3 linked regions of the Caenorhabditis elegans genome follow. The protein of the gene in region 3 interacts with the protein of the main gene of each other region in a pairwise test. Each region holds a gene or a part of one and is shown on either strand. Other genes may lie near its edges. The genes, in order: cpf-2, Y61A9LA.3 and zfp-3.

What was found.
Region 1: the proteins of zfp-3 (region 3) and cpf-2 interact in a two-hybrid assay, tested with the Caenorhabditis elegans proteins (2 studies listed by BioGRID).
Region 2: the proteins of zfp-3 (region 3) and Y61A9LA.3 interact in a two-hybrid assay, tested with the Caenorhabditis elegans proteins (one study listed by BioGRID).

Annotation. Positions count from the first base shown.
Region 1 is NC_003281.10:13,266,371-13,270,677, forward strand, and holds cpf-2 (RRM domain-containing protein), read right to left. Parts: upstream 2,514-4,307; 5' UTR 2,506-2,513; coding exon 2,442-2,505; intron 2,391-2,441; coding exon 2,335-2,390; intron 2,284-2,334; coding exon 2,162-2,283; intron 2,116-2,161; coding exon 1,971-2,115; intron 1,268-1,970; coding exon 644-1,267; 3' UTR 562-643; downstream 1-561. Other genes in the region: F56A8.5 (F-box domain-containing protein), read left to right, coding at 1-309, 359-515.
Region 2 is NC_003283.11:4,569,192-4,574,163, reverse strand, and holds the start of Y61A9LA.3 (C2H2-type domain-containing protein), read right to left. Parts: upstream 3,030-4,972; 5' UTR 3,022-3,029; coding exon 2,963-3,021; intron 2,436-2,962; coding exon 2,207-2,435; intron 1,867-2,206; coding exon 1,776-1,866; intron 1,032-1,775; coding exon of another isoform or gene 240-1,031; intron 1-239. Other genes in the region: hpo-39 (uncharacterized protein), read left to right, coding at 240-1,031; sut-2 (Zinc finger CCCH domain-containing protein 14), read left to right, coding at 4,137-4,187, 4,249-4,565, 4,625-4,729.
Region 3 is NC_003284.9:1,440,519-1,448,597, reverse strand, and holds the start of zfp-3 (C3H1-type domain-containing protein), read left to right. Parts: upstream 1-1,954; 5' UTR 1,955-2,021; coding exon 2,022-2,109; coding exon of another isoform or gene 2,110-2,138; intron 2,139-3,581; coding exon 3,582-3,674; intron 3,675-3,721; coding exon of another isoform or gene 3,722-4,191; exon of another isoform or gene 4,192-5,202; coding exon of another isoform or gene 5,203-5,209; exon of another isoform or gene 5,210-5,281; coding exon 5,282-5,445; intron 5,446-5,962; coding exon 5,963-6,104; intron 6,105-6,155; coding exon 6,156-6,360; intron 6,361-6,421; coding exon 6,422-7,055; intron 7,056-7,238; coding exon 7,239-7,412; intron 7,413-7,466; coding exon 7,467-7,967; 3' UTR 7,968-8,079.

The sequences.
Region 1 (4,307 bases), on a different chromosome or scaffold from region 3:
CCTAATCTCTACGATGAATGGAAATTTGGAAAACTTCAAAGATCTGGAACACCTTGAACTCAGTGGCTGTTCATGGTTCAGAGCGGAGCATTTTCGAGCATTGGAGGCAAATCGTGTTTCTCTTTATTGCTTAAACTTCACTGTTCAAGACGTGAATACTATTCTCAGAGATTGGACCCGAGGATCAAATGCGAAATTGGAAAATTTGATTGTTCATTCGAAAGAGATTGATGGAAGAGTTCCAGGGCAAATTCTGGAAGGTCTCGATGTGAAACCATGGAACCACGAACAACGGCAGAAAATTTTCCCGTAAGTTTTCAAAAGTTTCCTGAAAGTTGCAAATTAAATTCTGTTTCAGAAAAGAAGAACCATTCCAATCATTAAACTGCGAGAAAGCGATGGATTTTGAACGAGCCGATGGTCTTCTCGCTTCTGTGATCATTAACGATAACGAGGTTGAGATGGTGGTTTGGCATAAAAGATTCTCCGACCAAGAGCCGATGGAAGAAGATTGAATTTTCATTTAATTTTGTTGCAATAAACCAAATGTTGAATTTAAAAATGTGATCTTCATGAAATCGATAGTTACAAAACGGAAAAATTAGAATTAAAAGCACAAATACTCGAGAGACGAGATCCATATTTACTTGACATTTCTCTTCAACTGCTGTCTCAGCTCTATTATCTTCTCACGATCCCCAGCAGGAAGCATCTGAAGATCGTGCTCGCTGAGCTGCATGACTTGCATCAGAAGCTCCGCATTTTGCTGCTCTTCTTGATGATTTTGTTGTGGCTGCTGAACTGGAGGTCTCATCTGAACTGGTGGCTGCTGCTGTGGCGGTGGCTTGTACTGCTGTGGAGCCACTGGTTGCCCGTAATTTTGACCGTATTGAGGAGCTTGCGGATGTCCCATAGGTGGACCCATAGGTGGTCCCATCGGAGGACCCATAGATGGGCCAGGATGAGCAAATGTTGGCTTCGGTGGCATCGGCATCTGTTGTTGCTGAACCATTGGCGGTGCTCCTTGAGGTGTATTATGGAATGGTGTCAGCGTGGCGGCCTTATTACGATGAAGGAGTCCAAGTGCAGTCTGTGGATCAACGATTCGCATGACAACGGCGGCTTGGAGCACCGCGTAGGCGATTTGTGGATGCTCGACCAGGAATTTGTGTAGTTCCGATGGATTGTTCTTCAGCGATTCTTGCAGTTGCTTCATTAGTTCGAACATTTTCTCCGGAGCCAGGGAGGCGACTGTTTGGGAGATTCTCTAAAATTTGTGATTTGAGAAAGAAAATGAGCTCGATAATGCATATTTAGGCCCTATTTCGTCATTTTTGAGCATTTTCTATTCATTTTTGTGCAAATACGACTATTTTTCATCATTTTTAAGCTTAATTTGAGACAATTCATTACGAAATTCTTACAATTGAGCTCATTTTGAGACTATACGTTCAGAATGACTAAATAAGCTTAAAAATGACTAAACAAGAGCGAAGTTTGCCAAAAAATAATAAAAATGATTAAAATTTGGTCGAAGAGAACCAAAAATTGTTTTAAAAAAGTACGAAAATTACAAAAAATGACCAGTGTAGGTCATTTTGGAAATTTCTGGCGAATTTCGGTCATTTTCATTCATTTTTGGGCATTTTTGGGCATTTTCAGGCCAATTGCAGTCATTTTCGAGCCGATTTCAGTCATTGTTGAACATTTCAGGCCAATTTCGGTCAATTTTGGACATTTCAGGCCAATTCCGGTCATTTTTGGACATTTCAGGCGAATTTTGGCCATTTTTGGATATTTCAGGGAAATTTCTGTCATTTTCAGGCCAATTTCAGTCATTCCTGAACATTTCTGGCCAATTTTCGTCATTTTTAGACATTTCAGGCCAATTTCAGTCATTTTTGGACATTTCAGGCCAATTTCAGTTATTTTTTAGACATTTCAGGCCAATTTCGCTCATTTTTAGCTACCTCCGGTGCTTTTCCAGCATCACACTCTGGACCATACGGATTCTCTTCGACAGGAGCTGGAGCATTACTCGATGAGCCGAATTCTTCCATATTCATTCCACCAGCAGCACTGTCGACTCGCAAAATACGTCCACTCAGCTCGTAACTGAACATTTATTGAATAAATAATTTATTTTTCAAATATTTAATACCCATTAAGGTTTCGAATTGCAACTTCGGCGGTTTGAATGTCTGGAAATTCAATAAATCCGTATCCCTTTGGCTTTCCGGTCTCCCGATCGTGAACCATTTTGATCGACAACACATTTCCTGCCTGAAAACTTTTTTTCAGTATTTTAATTGGAAAGAATAAAATAATAATTACCTTTGAAAAAATGGAGCGAATCGTGTCTTCGGATACATCGTAGCTAATGTTTCCAACTGAAAAATGCGAAAATTACGTTTTTTTTTCGAAAATTCACAGTTTCCTACCGAAAACTGAACGTTGAGATCGATCATTGCCCACTCCGGATGATTTGTATCCCCCGGACATCATTTTTCAACCTGGAAATTGAAAATGAATAAATTAAATCGTCGATAAATCGATAAAAGCATTTAAGGAGTTGGAAACTGCACAGAGAAAAAACTATTCGAAAATAAATCGCGTGCCGCACACTTGCGAAAACTGCGCGCCCGCATTGCATATTCGTTGCCTCTAGCTCCACCCACATTTTTTGTGACGTCACAGCACAAGCAAAGTGACCCTCCGAAAATGACCGATTTCCGCGGAAAAAGACGGAAATTGACATTGATTCTTGTTTGACACACATATTGATTGACAAAGATTTCGTATTTCGTCAAAAAATGATATCTTCTGCATAATTTTTATTATTACACATTCTTAAAAATCGGGTACTACTCATTTTTCTTACGAAAAACTTTAAAATTCGAAAAAAAATGTCTTCTCATGAATAACAGCTTGTCTCTCCGACTATATTTTTCACATTTCCGCCAATATTTTCAGTTTTTTTTTTTTTTAGTTTTTCGCCGTTTGATTTATGAGCCAATTTCGCGCATTTTGATTGATGGGAACAGCGTTGACGTGGGGTGTTAGTGTTCCCGAGAGATGCAGAGTATATATTTTATTTTGTTTTATTTAGTTGAAATGACAAAATTCAAATAATTTTTTTAGTTTGAAAATATTTTTTGCCTAGTTTTTCCACTTCGAAACACCGCATAAACTAGTTATACCTGATGCCTGATGTTTGGTAGTTTTCTATTTTGGGAGTATTTGGAACTAATTGAAACGAAACATTTTCTATTTAAAAAAATTTATCAAATAATTCTTCCACATGTTTTCCAACCCTTTTTTAGACCAGCCGTTGAATTTTCAATAAATCGCTTCGAGATCTTCGATTTGACGACACACTGAAAATAGTGCTCTTTTCGAAATGGAAATTCAATAGCGCTCCACTGCCAAACTAAACTTATTGGGCGCAAAGCAGTAATTTTAAAGAAATTTCCAGCTTCGAGTTTTGGAGACCGTAACAAATCTTCCAAAAATGCAAGGAAAATTCTGAAAATGCGTATTGCGCACCATATTTGACGCGCAAAATATCTCGAAGCGAAAACTACAGTAATTTTTAAATGACTACTGTAGTCCTTGTGTCGATTTACGGAAATCACTTATTAATCGATAAAATATTAGAAGAAAACATAACAATGACAAAATATTACGAACTATCGATCGAGCCCGTAAATCGACACCAGCGCCACAGTAATCATTTAAAGAATTCGCTCACGAGATATAGTTATATTTTGCGCGTCAAATATGTTGTGCAATACGCATTCTCAGAATTTTGTGTTCCCGTAATATAGTAGTTTCACTAGAATTTGATAGGCCTTCTTAAAGGTGCACGGACTTATTCAGATGGGTCTCGGCGCGCGTAGAAAAGTTTATAGTTAAAAGTTTCTCGTTTTTTTGAATTTTTGCGGCTCCGTCCTTGTTTATTTTTCTTTTAAAAATTCTATTAAAATAGTTTTAACTCAGTTTTCAAATTAAAAAAAATACTACCATAAATTTTTGTTTGTGCTCCGAGACCCATCTAAAAAAATCCGTGCGCCTTTAAAAAGACACACGGATTTCTGGCTTTCCTCATAAATTGAAATGGAAGAGTTTGCCAAACTAGGCCATTTTGGCTCGGCCATATCTGGGGTAGATTTACGGTGCGTTGCGTGTCGCGCCGCGGCTCGGTTTTGGTTGTAAAACTAAATGTAACTGTCCGAGTTGAGTACCCAACTTTCCCACGCGTTGTCCGGCAGGCGATTGTCAATGGAGCGCGAAAAATTCAACGAGGA
Region 2 (4,972 bases), on a different chromosome or scaffold from region 3:
CGTTATGAAAATCAGGTAGTTTCAGCATCTAAACAGCATATGTATAATGTTTCAGAAAAAGTTTAGGTTTTGTATTCCCGTAATCCATCATTTTACATTGACCACTTTCACCGCTGCTTGCCGACTGAATACATAATTTTTTGACTTGGAAATTGTTTTAGCATCTGCAAAAAATATTTGGTTTAATTACCCAAGTTTGAGTTTGAGGTACGCCGGTCAACTGCTGCAGGTCATTGGTCATGTCGGAACCACCTCCTCCTCATTCCGCCCCAGTGCCTATGGTGAAGACGGATTTCTTCGCTTTCTCTGGTCCTTATCTCCCGGAGGACGCTCACGGTACGAGTTCTCCGCCGGAGAAACAACAGCAAACCCGGAAGCGCGGTCGCCCGACCGCTCTTGAATTGCTCACTACCCGTGTTGAAGAATTGGAAAAGGAAAATTCGAGCTTGAGAACCTTCCGTACCGCCGCTGAAAGCAGATGTCGTGCCCTGGAGAGCAAACAATCGGAACTCTTCCAAACCGTCGAGCAGCTCAAGGTAGTTGTTGCCAAGCTCACGAACGAATGCTCTGCCCGTGTTACCTCCAATTTGCCCGCTCCACGCCTGTTCGCCGATGTTCTCAAGGGACAATCAGCCGAGAAGAAAGCAGAGATCATTGCAGAAAGACGTGAAGCAGCAGCCAGCATTTCCCTGTTTGAGAAGAAGACTCATTTCGCCGTGATTGAAAATCTACCGGATGATGGCTCGGATTCACAATCCGCCAAGGATAAGGTTTTTCTCGATAATTTAATTGCCGCTAATCCCTCCCTCCCTGTACATATTCAAACTTTCCGCGTCAAAACTCGCAAACCAGTCTTATCCCGCCCAACAAAAATTCGTTTCTCTTCTGAAGCCGACCGCAATTCGTTCATTTTCTCTTTCTCCAAAACTCTCCGTTCGTTGCCTGATCGCCCCACTAACCTTCCAAGACCCATCCGCTGCAGACGCGATATGACCAACGATGTTATCTATCCTGAGAGAGTTGAGAGCTGACGCTTATAACAGAAATACCCAAGCTGGCGAGATTCGTTATTATGTGCGCGACCTTAAGATTGTGACTCTCTCGTCACCGCGTCCACTTCCTATCTCTGTTGATTCGGCTGCTCCCGTTGCTAACGCATAGGTAAACGGCCACCGGGCTTTATTATCGTCTTGTCCGTCCATTGCTTCTCAAAGTGTGTCTTTCAAAGGTGTAATTTATCGTACGCGTCATACAGTAGCAGGCTTTCCCAATTTAATTTATTGTCTACCCACCATAGACGGGTTCTTCAAATCCTCCGAACCTTCCATAAAATTATTTCAAGCGAGTATCACTTCCCGTCCTTATCATCGTTCGTTCGAGCTTCACGCTCTACTCGTCACCCCTATCTACTTGTTGTCTGTGGCGTCCCGTCTAAATGTTTTCTACATGTTAACTTGTCGTTGTGGAACCGAATAGCAAAACGTTTCCCTAAACTGTTAACTCCAAATGCATTTGCGTCGCGCCTAGGCTCTATCCCATTTGACACCCTCTTCCCCCCAACTTGACCTCCCGGGCTATAGCTGGTCCAATTGGTCATTTTATTTATCTGTCCACACATCTTTTTTATTTTACTTTTTTTCTTTGTCTTCCGGTGTAGCTATTTCTTGTGGCAAATAAACAATTATTATTACTTTTCCGAATTTTTGAATCGCCATCACTTTTTTGAGAAATTTTCGGCAGTTTCGGGCCATTTTGGGTCCAGTCTAAAAACGTACCACTGATAACTTGAATTTCTGGAGATGCAGACCGACTTCTCGCGATTTCCATTTCTCCGCCAATGTGCTCAAAGTCTAGTCTCGGCTGAAACTATTTAATTCGTGAATTTTCATCAAAATCCGAAAAAAAAGTCTAAAAACCAGAAAAACCACATCGCAACCAATCAGCGATTCGCTCCGCCCATCCTTCAACCAATCAGATTGAGTGGGCGGAGTTCGAAGTCGTTGATTGGTCGGGGAATTCTCGTTTTGAAGTCAATTCTCAAAATGAGGATTCCCCGACTTCGAACTCCGCCCACTCCATCTGATTGGTTCAAAGATGGGCGGAGCGAATCGCTGATTGGTCGGGGAGTTTTGGAGGGAATTTCAGCGAAAATTGAGTTTTTAAGTTGGATTTTTTGAACTTTTCGACTCAAAATCGCGCTCCTTACATGTCTGAGCAACGGCTGTCTCCCTTCATTTCTTCCCATCGTCGTCAAATCCTCTCCAAACGGCCCCTTATCGAAACCACGTCTTCTCGAATTATCCACTACGGGTCCATTATAGGTGTCCACCACCGGCTGAAATCCGTGATACGGATCACTTCCTCCAAGAATTGCAGCTCTCATAGAAGGAACCGGCGGGCCAGGACGTCTATCGAAATCGCCACGTCTAGCATCACTGAAAAAATATAAAAAAATGAGTTTTATTTTTTTTTCCCGGAAAATCCGGATTTTTTCATCCTCAGAGGTGAGGTACCGAAATTTGAGACTTTGCTTTTTAGACCCAAAATGGTCCAAAACTACCGAATTTCGTAATGAGACGTTCTGAAAATATTTCAAAAAAAAAGTTATGACCGCTCGAAAATTTTGGAAAAAATGGCCAATTTTTAGCTAAAATCTCAAATTTTTTCCAACTTCTCGGTGTTGCAGCGGTTAGAACTTAATTATTATTTTTTTATCACTTTTTAATAAATATTGTGGTCTTTGATTAGGCGTTTATTCGTTGATTTAAGTACATTTATGGTCAGTGGGGCACAAAATTTAACTTTTATTTGTGCCCCACTGACCATAAATGTACTAATCAATGAATAAACGCCCAATCAAAGACCACAATATTTATTTAAAAGTGATAAAAAAAATAATAATTAAGTTCTAACCGCTGCGACACCGAGAAGTTGGAAAAAATTTGAAAAAAAAACGGCTCACATTGGAATATGCGGAGGAATTATCCGATTTGGAACATGTTCGTACGACGAATGTCGCATGTCTCTAGCTGGAAAAAAAAACCGGAAATTCGTGGACAAGAACGGATTTGAGGAGGAAAAACGAGGGGAGACGCAGACAGAAATGCACGCAGCCACAGAAAATCGATAGTTTTCCACGAAATCAGTCTAGAAATATTTGGAAAAAAATTATTTCAAGGATGGAAATTGCTGGTAAAACTGTGAAAGTGCTTCAAAAATCGATTGAAAATGAAAAAAAATCTAAATATTAAATTTCATTAAATTCTCTCAATTTCTAGTTGTTTTTGGTGATTAAATGAACAAAATATGCATTTTTTCGGCAAAAAAAATCCGAAAATCTGAAATTTTAAGCTCGAAAACCTAAGAAACTCTCTGAAAATCGATAAAAACAAGAAATCATAAATTTCAATCTATTTTCAGTTATTTTTGGTGATTAAATAAACCAAATACACATTTTTCCGGCAAAAAACCCTGAAATCCTCTGAAAATCGATTAAAACTTAAAAAAAAATGAAGCGTCCGTAAAAATAAAGAAAAATCATAAATTCCAGCGATTTTCTTAATTTCTAGTTATTTATAATGATTAATTGAACAAAATAGGCATTTTTCGACAAAAAACCCTTAAAATCTTCAATTTTAACACAGAAAACCTGAGAAATCCTCTGCAAATCGATTAAAAAACACAAAAACCTTTTATGCAAAAATCTGCATTTTGTCGTCACAGTGTGTGCATACTTTACACCGAATCTTACGACAAATAATTGTCGCTGCTGGCATTGTGAGAGAGAAAGGGATACACGTGATTTTCGTATAATTCCGATTCGTTTTCCCTGAATTTTTCTAATTAATTTATTGAATTATTTTAAATTATTGATTTTCTGTCAATTTTCACACAAAAATTGCCGCTGATTTATTCAAAGTGTCGGTTTTTATCCCGTTATTTGAATATTTTCGAAAAACCAGATTATTTGTGGTTTTAGTGATTTTTAGTGAACTTCCGGAAGTTTCTTGAGCCAATATAACTTTGAAATCAGTTTTTAAAGCTTACTATGACATTATTATCTTAAAAATTGGAACAAAAATTGTGATATTTAGCTTATTGATTTTTTTTTGGTTTTCAGATATAATCTGTTCGAAATGAATACTCAAACAGGGACAGGAACCTCAGAAGTGTCGAAAAAACTAAAGGTAACGTTAAATAAGTTAATAAATTTCAAAAATCGCAAAAATTAATAATTTTTTAATTCAGGCCGCGATTCGAGCCAAACTTGAAGAGCTCGGCGTCTACGTGGACGATGAATTACCCGATTATATTATGGTAATGATTGCGAATAAGAAGGAAAAAGTGCAGATGAAGGACGATCTCAACTTATTTATCGGAAAAAGCACTGCGAAATTCGTCGACTGGCTTTTTGATCTGTTCGATCGCCTACAAAACGCTTCGAACAAGCAAGGAGAGACTAGTAAAAAGGAGGAGGATAAGAGAAAAGAGCTGGAAGCAACAGCAGCAGCAAAGGAGCATGAAGAGAAACGAAGAAAAGAGAAGGAAGAGCATGAGAAAGAACTGTAAGTGCCGAGCGAAGGAATAAGAAATAATTAAAAATTGAAAATTTCAAAAATTCCAGGCAAAAAGAAAAAGAACGTGAGAAGGAGCGTCAACGAGAACGTGATCGTGAAAAGCGGGCCGAAGAGGAGAAGCGTCGTGAGGAGAAGAGAAAAGAGATTCAGAGGTAGTTTTCTGATAGAACACAGAATATTTCGGGATCACAAAATTCTGAGAATGCGTATTGCGCAGCATATTTGACGCGCAAAATATCTCGTAGCGAAAACTACAGTACTCTCTCTCTCTTTAAAGGAGGACTAACGGTTCGGACTCAAAATGAGCTCAATCACGCTCTCCTCAAAGCTGATTAATCATTAGAGCGCGCTCCGCCTCTATTTCTGTGCGACGCTGCTTTTTTTGTGCAAAATTC
Region 3 (8,079 bases):
TTCTTCCAGACAAAAAGAAATCTGTACAAATTCCCGTTGAATGAGCTTATGGTGCATCGGTTTGTGATTTAAAAAATTAAGACGCTTTTGACAGTATCTCTTAAATTTAAATCGAAATTATATTTTTTTTTTACAAGTAGCAAACTTTTGTAGGATATCAAAATTTCACGCTAAAGTTTTAATTTTAATGCTGAACACTAGAACGTTCAGTTTAGAATTGCTCATTTACAACTGTTCACTGTCATTTTTTTAAGATTACATACAAAACTGCTACTAAAGAAGAAAAGTTTCTCTAAATAAATAATTTTATATCAAAAATTGGTTATTAAATCACTTAATTTCCAGAAAATTATTCTAGGATATTGCCAAAGAAATGATTTTTTGTGAAAAATGTTCGAAAATTCCAGGATTTTGATTCCAATTTAAGTGTTTTCAGGCGTTTCTAGAAGTTTTTCATCTTCTTTTATCCGGCAAGCAAATTGCAAAAATTTCTGTTAAACGCGGTTCAAATTTGTGGAAGCTAGCATCATGGTGCATCGACATTTTTTTAATTTCTCTTAAAGTATCATTCGAGTCCTGTATTGTCTGCCTTCATGCACTAATTGTCAATTGAGTCCCTTCAAAATAATTTTCCCTGACATCTGGTAGTTCCCTGCAACTTCCACGTTATCTTGACAATTTTCTTTTATCCGAGAGGTTCCTTCTGTAAAACGATTCTGACAAACTAGTCCACGTATTTAAGAGCAAACATCATGGTTCATCAAAGTTTGTGAATTTCAAAATAGTAAACCTAATTCATAGAATCTCTAAAATGGACTTTTTTGTGAGAAATGCTCAAAATCGAAGACTTTTGTCTGGATTCGATTATTTTCAAACGGCATTTTTAAATGATTTATTCAAAACGACAGTATTCTTCCAGTTGACTAGGATAGTGAAAAAATTTCTGTTTCACCAAAAAATTCATGTAAACTCGGTTCAAGTTTCTGTAAGCTAACATCATAGTGCATCGATTTCTGTGATTTTCAACAAATTGGCACGTTTGACAATTTTCCTCACAATTCCATTTAACTCCTGCTTTATGTCTTTACGGGTAGCCTGTCTGTCGAATACTTTCCCTTATATGTAGCTAGAAATAATTTTCAAAAACCAATTATTTTTCCTGAACTCCACTGATTTTCTGTAGTCTTATCGATTTTTTGACAATCTGCTCCCAGCCAAAAAGGAATCTGTAAAAATTTATGTTTCATTTGAAAATTCCTGAAGCAATTGCAAAAATCATGGTGCATCGACAAACTTTTATCAACTTTTTTAGTTTTTAGTATTGCATGAAAAGTCGTTAGAATCTGTTCTGGTGAAACTGTTCTGGAATGGTCTTTCGATTGAAAACTTTTCTCAAAATATAAGTTTTTGGTTGGCTGAGCTTCAAATTCAAAAAAAAAATTGCTTTGAAATTTTAAAAACTCACAAAATTCATGAACTTCCATCAATATCCAATATGCATTTAACCATTATTCTCCAAAAAACACGCTCCGCAACTTGTCGTCAGTGTGTATGCAGACATCGGTGAGGGACCCAAGTGGTCGCATTCGACAGCCCACATGATACACGCTCTCGTCGTCTCGTGCCTCTTTTCCCTCGCCACCTGCACTCTCTCGTCGACTGCGGGCGATCTCTAACCACTCTCTGGCTGCCTGCTCGGGATATTTCCTCACTATTTGACTGCCGGGGGTCTCTTGTGTCTACGATCGATAGGGAAACGCACGCTCACACAAACACTCTCCCGCACACATTGCGCGTTTCGAAAATGTATTAGGCTGATTTTGGCGAGTTTTTTCTCCTGGTTTTCTTCTAGTTTCCCTCAACTTTTTAAAATTAAAATTTTCTTTGATTTTTCCTCTTTTTTTTTTAAATTCACTAATATTCTCTTCAAATTAAACTCTTACAAAATTTCCAGAAAATCTACACAAAGCAGAAGCAGCAGAAGCCGCCAGCAGCTCAACTCCGCACCAACACCGTCTCCAATGGCCGACGTCTACACCCCGACCAAGACAATGGACGGCGCCTTCCTGCCAGCAGTGGGATCCCCGAACACCTCCATCGACTCTCCGGGTAAGTCATCGGAATTCTACTATTTTTGAATTTGAATTCTAATTTGCAAGTTCCTTATTTTCTTCTCCACTTCATCCTATTTCTTCGATCTCGAATCTTGATATCAAGCACTTTCATTTTTCTTTGTGACACAGTTCCGGGTTGGCGAAAAAGAAAAAACCGTTTTCAGAGAGACAATTGAAATAAAGAGTTCTGTTTTAACCGCACAATATGAAGGAAAATAATGTGAGGAACAGAAATGCCCCAGATGTGGTCGGATACCCAGAAAGGGATGACCGGGCTTTGGACACGAATTTTCAGGTTCTGAAGTGCCCTCGGCATCTTGGAGCACCTCTGACGTGCTGAGAGCAGTAGAATCCAGAAGTCAAGATACTTGGACTTGGACTTCAACTTTGGCTATATGGGACCAGCAGGAAAACTTCAAGCTTCTACCTAGCAGGAACCAGCTATGTTTCTTGGATTATTAGGCTTTCACTTCAAGGCTCAGAAGCTTAAGTCATTTAGGATAGGCTCTCGCTCTTCTCTTTTTCCCTCTTTGGGCCTAATTTCAAGTTGAGAACAGTGACTACGTATTTTCTATAGAGAAGATAAGATGTGTCCTGGTTCCGCGAGAAAAAGGGATAGGGAAACAATTATTACAAAGTGATAACGGCCTGATTTCGAACAACTTGCTGACTATGCTGAAGCTGTGGCCTATTTTTTTTTCTATCCTCTAGTAGAATGCTGGAAAAATTGAATCCGACTATTTTAGTACAGCTGGAATTTTTCGTTTTAAACTTTGGGGGTCTATGGTGCTTTTTGAAACTAGATTGAAACTTGCGACTACTTTTAATATTTCAGAAATGTCCTGAACAGATCTGAGGTCTTTTGGAGAATTTTGGAAGTTTTGTGATGATCGGGCAAGATTACGGCAAATTCATTCAAAGTTCACAAAGACATAAGAATGCATGGAAAATATCTGGCAAGTTGTGCCAAGTTCTGAAGGGTTGTACAGTTTTCGAAAACATTTCTAGAAGTTTGGAAAAGTCTAGAAAAATTATGGGATTTGAAGAAAATGTGGAAGGCTTTTGAATACTTTCTGTTAACTTTCTGCAGATTTCTGGCATTTTTAGGGAAGTTCTATATCTTCAGTAAGAGCTGCAGACTTTTGCTCACTCACTGGAGCTTTTTTGGCAAGTACGGGTAAGTTCTGGAAGTTGACCGAGTTTTTGAGTAGACCGGAATCAATCTGGCAAATTTTGTTCCATGTATCTGATAGCTTTTGAATTTTTTGAACAATTGTTATACTTCTGGACATATTTCTTACGTTCCGACATTTTTCTCGGTGGATATTTTTTCAAGAAACTGCTAGATTCCAGATATTCTAGATAAAAAATACTCTAAAAATACAAGAAAATTTGAATCTTCCTTGAATATATTCTAATAATTTCCAATAGGCAGTTCAAATTCAATTTTAAATTTCAAATTTTCAGCAGTCTACGTACCGACACCACTCACCGCGCCATCCACATCGAAGACGACTCCAGTGAAGCCCGAGGATCAGACAACGCGGCAGAAATATGGAGGTAGGTGGAAAACTCTTTAGAATTTGTATCCTAACATCACATTTCAGGTACATGGAAGCTCCGACACTTGGGAATGAGATGGAGATGTGCTCTTCCCACCCGCCGATTCCCACTTTCCCAGCCCCTATTTCTATGTAGCGTAGATACGACTATTCACATTTTAATGAATTATAGAACTCTCCAGAACTTTAGCAAAATTTTGAAAGGTCTTGGAAAAATGGGAAAATGTAATTTTAAAAGCGGACAAAAACCGAGATTTATTATTAAAAAAAGACTATGGATACCCGGGAACTATGGTCACTCTTATGGAAGCCTCTTCTCAATTGTGAATCCCCATCACTTTTCAGACTCCCCAATAAGTTGTTCTCCATGTTTTTTCTATGTTTCTGATTTCTTCTTTTTTTCTATTTTTTTGTGCGTCCGGAGTTTTTTTGCAGATGCTCTCAGCTTCATATGGAATATTCTACAGTGGTTTCGTTTGCAGAGCCGAGCAAAATGGCGGAGAAGATATATATGAAAGATATATGAAATTCCAGAAAAATCATCAGAAGTGCACGGGCTGAAATTTTGGAAAAATTGCCGCCCGTGGACGTTTTTGAATGCGGAAATCGATAAATTGAACATTTTTGATTGGGAATTTGAAAGAAAAGTTTGAGTAGATCATTTTTGAAGGATGTCTAGAATTTTGAAAATGTCTAGAATGCTCAGCGATTGAGAAAATGTAAAAAATTAATATTTATGGTCTGAATTTTTGTAATAGTCGGATAGGTTAGGCGTTATGAATTCTGAAGAACACTTACTTATTTTTCGCAAAGAAATGTGACTTTTCCAAATTTGTAGTGGCTTAAAACGTTGTAATCTTGAAATTTTGATCTCCCAAAAATCTGATTTCTGTACTTACTACTAGTAGAAATGTTTTAGAGAAAATTGCTTGCAAATTGAAATGTTTCGAGGTTTCCGATGAAGAGCCGTTTCAGTTGTCAATTTTTGTATTAAATTTTACGACGATTCTTTTGTTTTTACTCAAAACATTTTTTAAAAATCGATAAATTGCAAAACTCGGTGAGATAATTTTCCTATTGGTATCCCCTTGTAGGCCAAAACTTAAATTCACAATAATGAACAAGTACGCTCTATTTTTGGAATAAACCGTGGAATATGCCTTGTGAGTTATTGCGCACAAATTGGAATTTTTTGGAAAAAAAACGATGCTACTTTAAAAAATTGATAAGGAAATCAATAAAAAGATTGCCGCGAAAAAGTTTGGACTATAAAAATTTTTGGATAAAAATTCAAAACACGGAATAAAAGACGCTCATAAACTCGAAAAAATGACAATTTTATACCTCGACGGATGTTTCAACACGTGGAATTTCTAGGTGACGTAATCTAGCGCTATTGATTTTTTTCTTGCAATTTGAATGGGAACCCCTTAAAACGCCTCAAAACTTTTACAAAATTGTTCCCATTTCCCCGTCTCCCCTGCCCCGTACCCATACCGTTTCAGAAAGAGCACATTTCAGTCTTGATGCCAAGTTTGTTTGAATACTTTAATTTTTTTTTTCAAAATTCCAGAAAATCTCAATAATACCAATCAATATTTTCAGGCTCAGTCTCCTACTCGCCATCCAACCCAGGAATCCGGATTGTGAAGCGAAAACCGAAGCCGGAAGCAGTTGCCGCAGCAGCAGCGGTGCCGACGGCGATTTATTCAGGAAAACGACACGCCACAGATGATGGAGAGGATGCGGGACTTGCCGCACTGAAATTGGTAGGTTAAAAAAGGAATTTGACAACTAAAATTGCTTTGTGGCGGTAGAGCGCATCTGCATTTTTTCAATGAGACTGTGCTAGACTGTTGGAAACGCCGACTGCTAGGAAAATTGAAATTTTATCTTTTAAAATTGAGCAGAGTTGTGTGCCTTGGTACTGGACAGTTCGGGCAAAAATTCTACAAATGAATTTCGAGCTCAAAATTTATGGTTTATTGGAGCAAGCGTGCTCTGATCCCGCTCTTTGAGAAATCGTTCAACGGGAATTTGACAACCAAACTTGCTCAGTTTCGGTAGAGCGCATTTGCTTCAATGAGGCGGTGTTAGAATTTTGGAAAATTTACCTTTTAAAATTGAGTGTAATTGCGCGCCAATTCGTCCATGGTACTGGACAGTTCGGAAAAAAAATTCTACAAATGAATTTCGAGCCCAAAATTATGGCTTTTTAGAACAAGCAAGCTCTGATCCAGCTACTTTCTTGAAAACAAGCAAAAACTATTACTAATCGCCCTCAAGTATTTTCAGAAGCCAAACCGTGGAATTCTCCGTGGTCCAGCTATCTCCAACCTCAATCAGCGTGGCACCCGTCGCCTCATCTTCGCCGACACGCGAGGTCTTCCACTGGTGCATGTTAAGGAAATTGAACGTATTGCAGCAAGTACGCCGCCACTAGAGCCTACCACTAAAACTAATGCGCCTCTTCTTTCAGTCCACTCGAATGTTGCCGACTATCGGTGTTCGGAGCGAAATGAGGCCGCCGCGTTTGGCCAGGAGATGGAAGTTTTTGAGGATGTCGAGTGGTCGCTGGTGCCGGTGAAGCGGTCCAAACCGGCGCGCAGTGAAATGTCAGAGTCGGGCCTACGGGAAGAAAGACGTATCGAAGAGGAAGGAATTATGAGAGGGGCCATGTTTGGGTAAGTTTTTAGGCATATATTGACCTGTAATAAAAATTTTTTAAATTTTTTGCGTTTCCAGAATGTGCCAACTCGAGGACAACCCAGCGCTTAACGAGCAGGCAGCTGTCGACCGTGCCAACTACACGCCGACCATCATCCCAACCGTCAGTGTTCCATCGGAGCCCACCACTCTCGCCACTATCCGCGATTTGCCACTTCCGGGCCGTCCGCCACGTGTTCGTCCACAAGATTTGCTGCTTCAGGTCAAGCCGAACCAGGGATTCCACACGTTGCCACTCTACCATAGCCAACGCCCGGAGAACCCTCGACGTCCGATGTACGCACAGCAGCAGCAGCAGCAATCAGCCCACCAGACGCCGACTCCACACATCCAGCAAGTGTTCCAGGAAACGGAACCGGTCACCAACTACTACACGGCCACCACCTCTGTCCCGGAGACCCCGGAGCCAGCTCCAGCAGCCCAGCCTGCCAGCAGATTCGAGCTTCCATCGAACCTCAAGGAGATGCTCAACCAGCTCAAGAAGAAGGGGTTCGTCTCGTCGGATGAGACTCCTTCGCCGACGACTTCAGCTCCACCGCCGGTTGATCCACTGGCGGCTGCAATGCAGACTGCTCAGCAGATGATGCTCCAGCAGGGGAACACGTATGCAAGTGAAGAAGTGCCGCAAGATTATCCAATGGATGGATATGTCGTGAGTTTTTTTCGCTTTTAAAAACGGGCTGGAATTGCTTGAAATGGTCCGACCCGCTTTAAAAATGTGTGGGCCCATGGAAGCTTACTTCAAAAACGGGACAGGCCCGGTATCGGCCCACTTTTACACGACGCTGGTCCAAGTCCTCCTTATTTATACATTAGCAACAGTCTAAAATTTCAGGCAACATTTGCAACTCCAGAGATGATGGCTCAGGAGCGTCGCCAGGACTCTCGCAACTCGGAAGGATGGACTCAATCCGGCTGGAAGATTCCAGAGCCATGTGTCTACTTTATCAGCCGCCCGGGTGGATGTAATCGGGGAGATCAGTGCAGATTTATTCATGACGAGGAGATGGTAAGTGGCAGTTTGAAGCTATTTTTTTTCCATTCTTACTTATTTCTTTTTCAGAGACGTCAAAAGATGGCAGAGCTCCCACCACGCGGTCCAAATCATCACCACGACAACTTCCGAGGTGGCCGAGGCCGCGGATTCCGTGGAGGCTACAACAATCGCAACAACTACAACAACCACCACGACCGCGACTTTAGAGACAATGCAGGCGGAAACCGTGGCCGATTTGGCGACACTGAAGGATTCCGTGGAGCACGATATGCTCGTGGAGGCTTTGCTCCTCGGAACAACTCGAGATTCGACCAGAAGCCAGCGTACAATGATGATGGCGGTCATCTAGGATCCCCAAATGCACATGGATCCCAGTATCAGGATCCCGTTCCGACTAAGAGAGCCCGTGTCAGTAGGTTTGATAGACAGGGAGAAGATGATGCTCCAGGCCAGGATATGGATCAACGGCCACCGAGGAGAAATCGATTTGACGAGCAGCCACCTCGCCGGACGTTCCGCTCTCGCTTTGATCAGCAAGCGGATCACGATGAGATGAGCCAAGCTTAGTGGCGGAAGAAAAAAAAATTAAATTAAATTGCATTTTCCACATTTCTAGTCACATTTCTGACCCCCCCCCCCATTAGTTCTTTTTCCAACCCGTAATATATTGTTTTTTTTT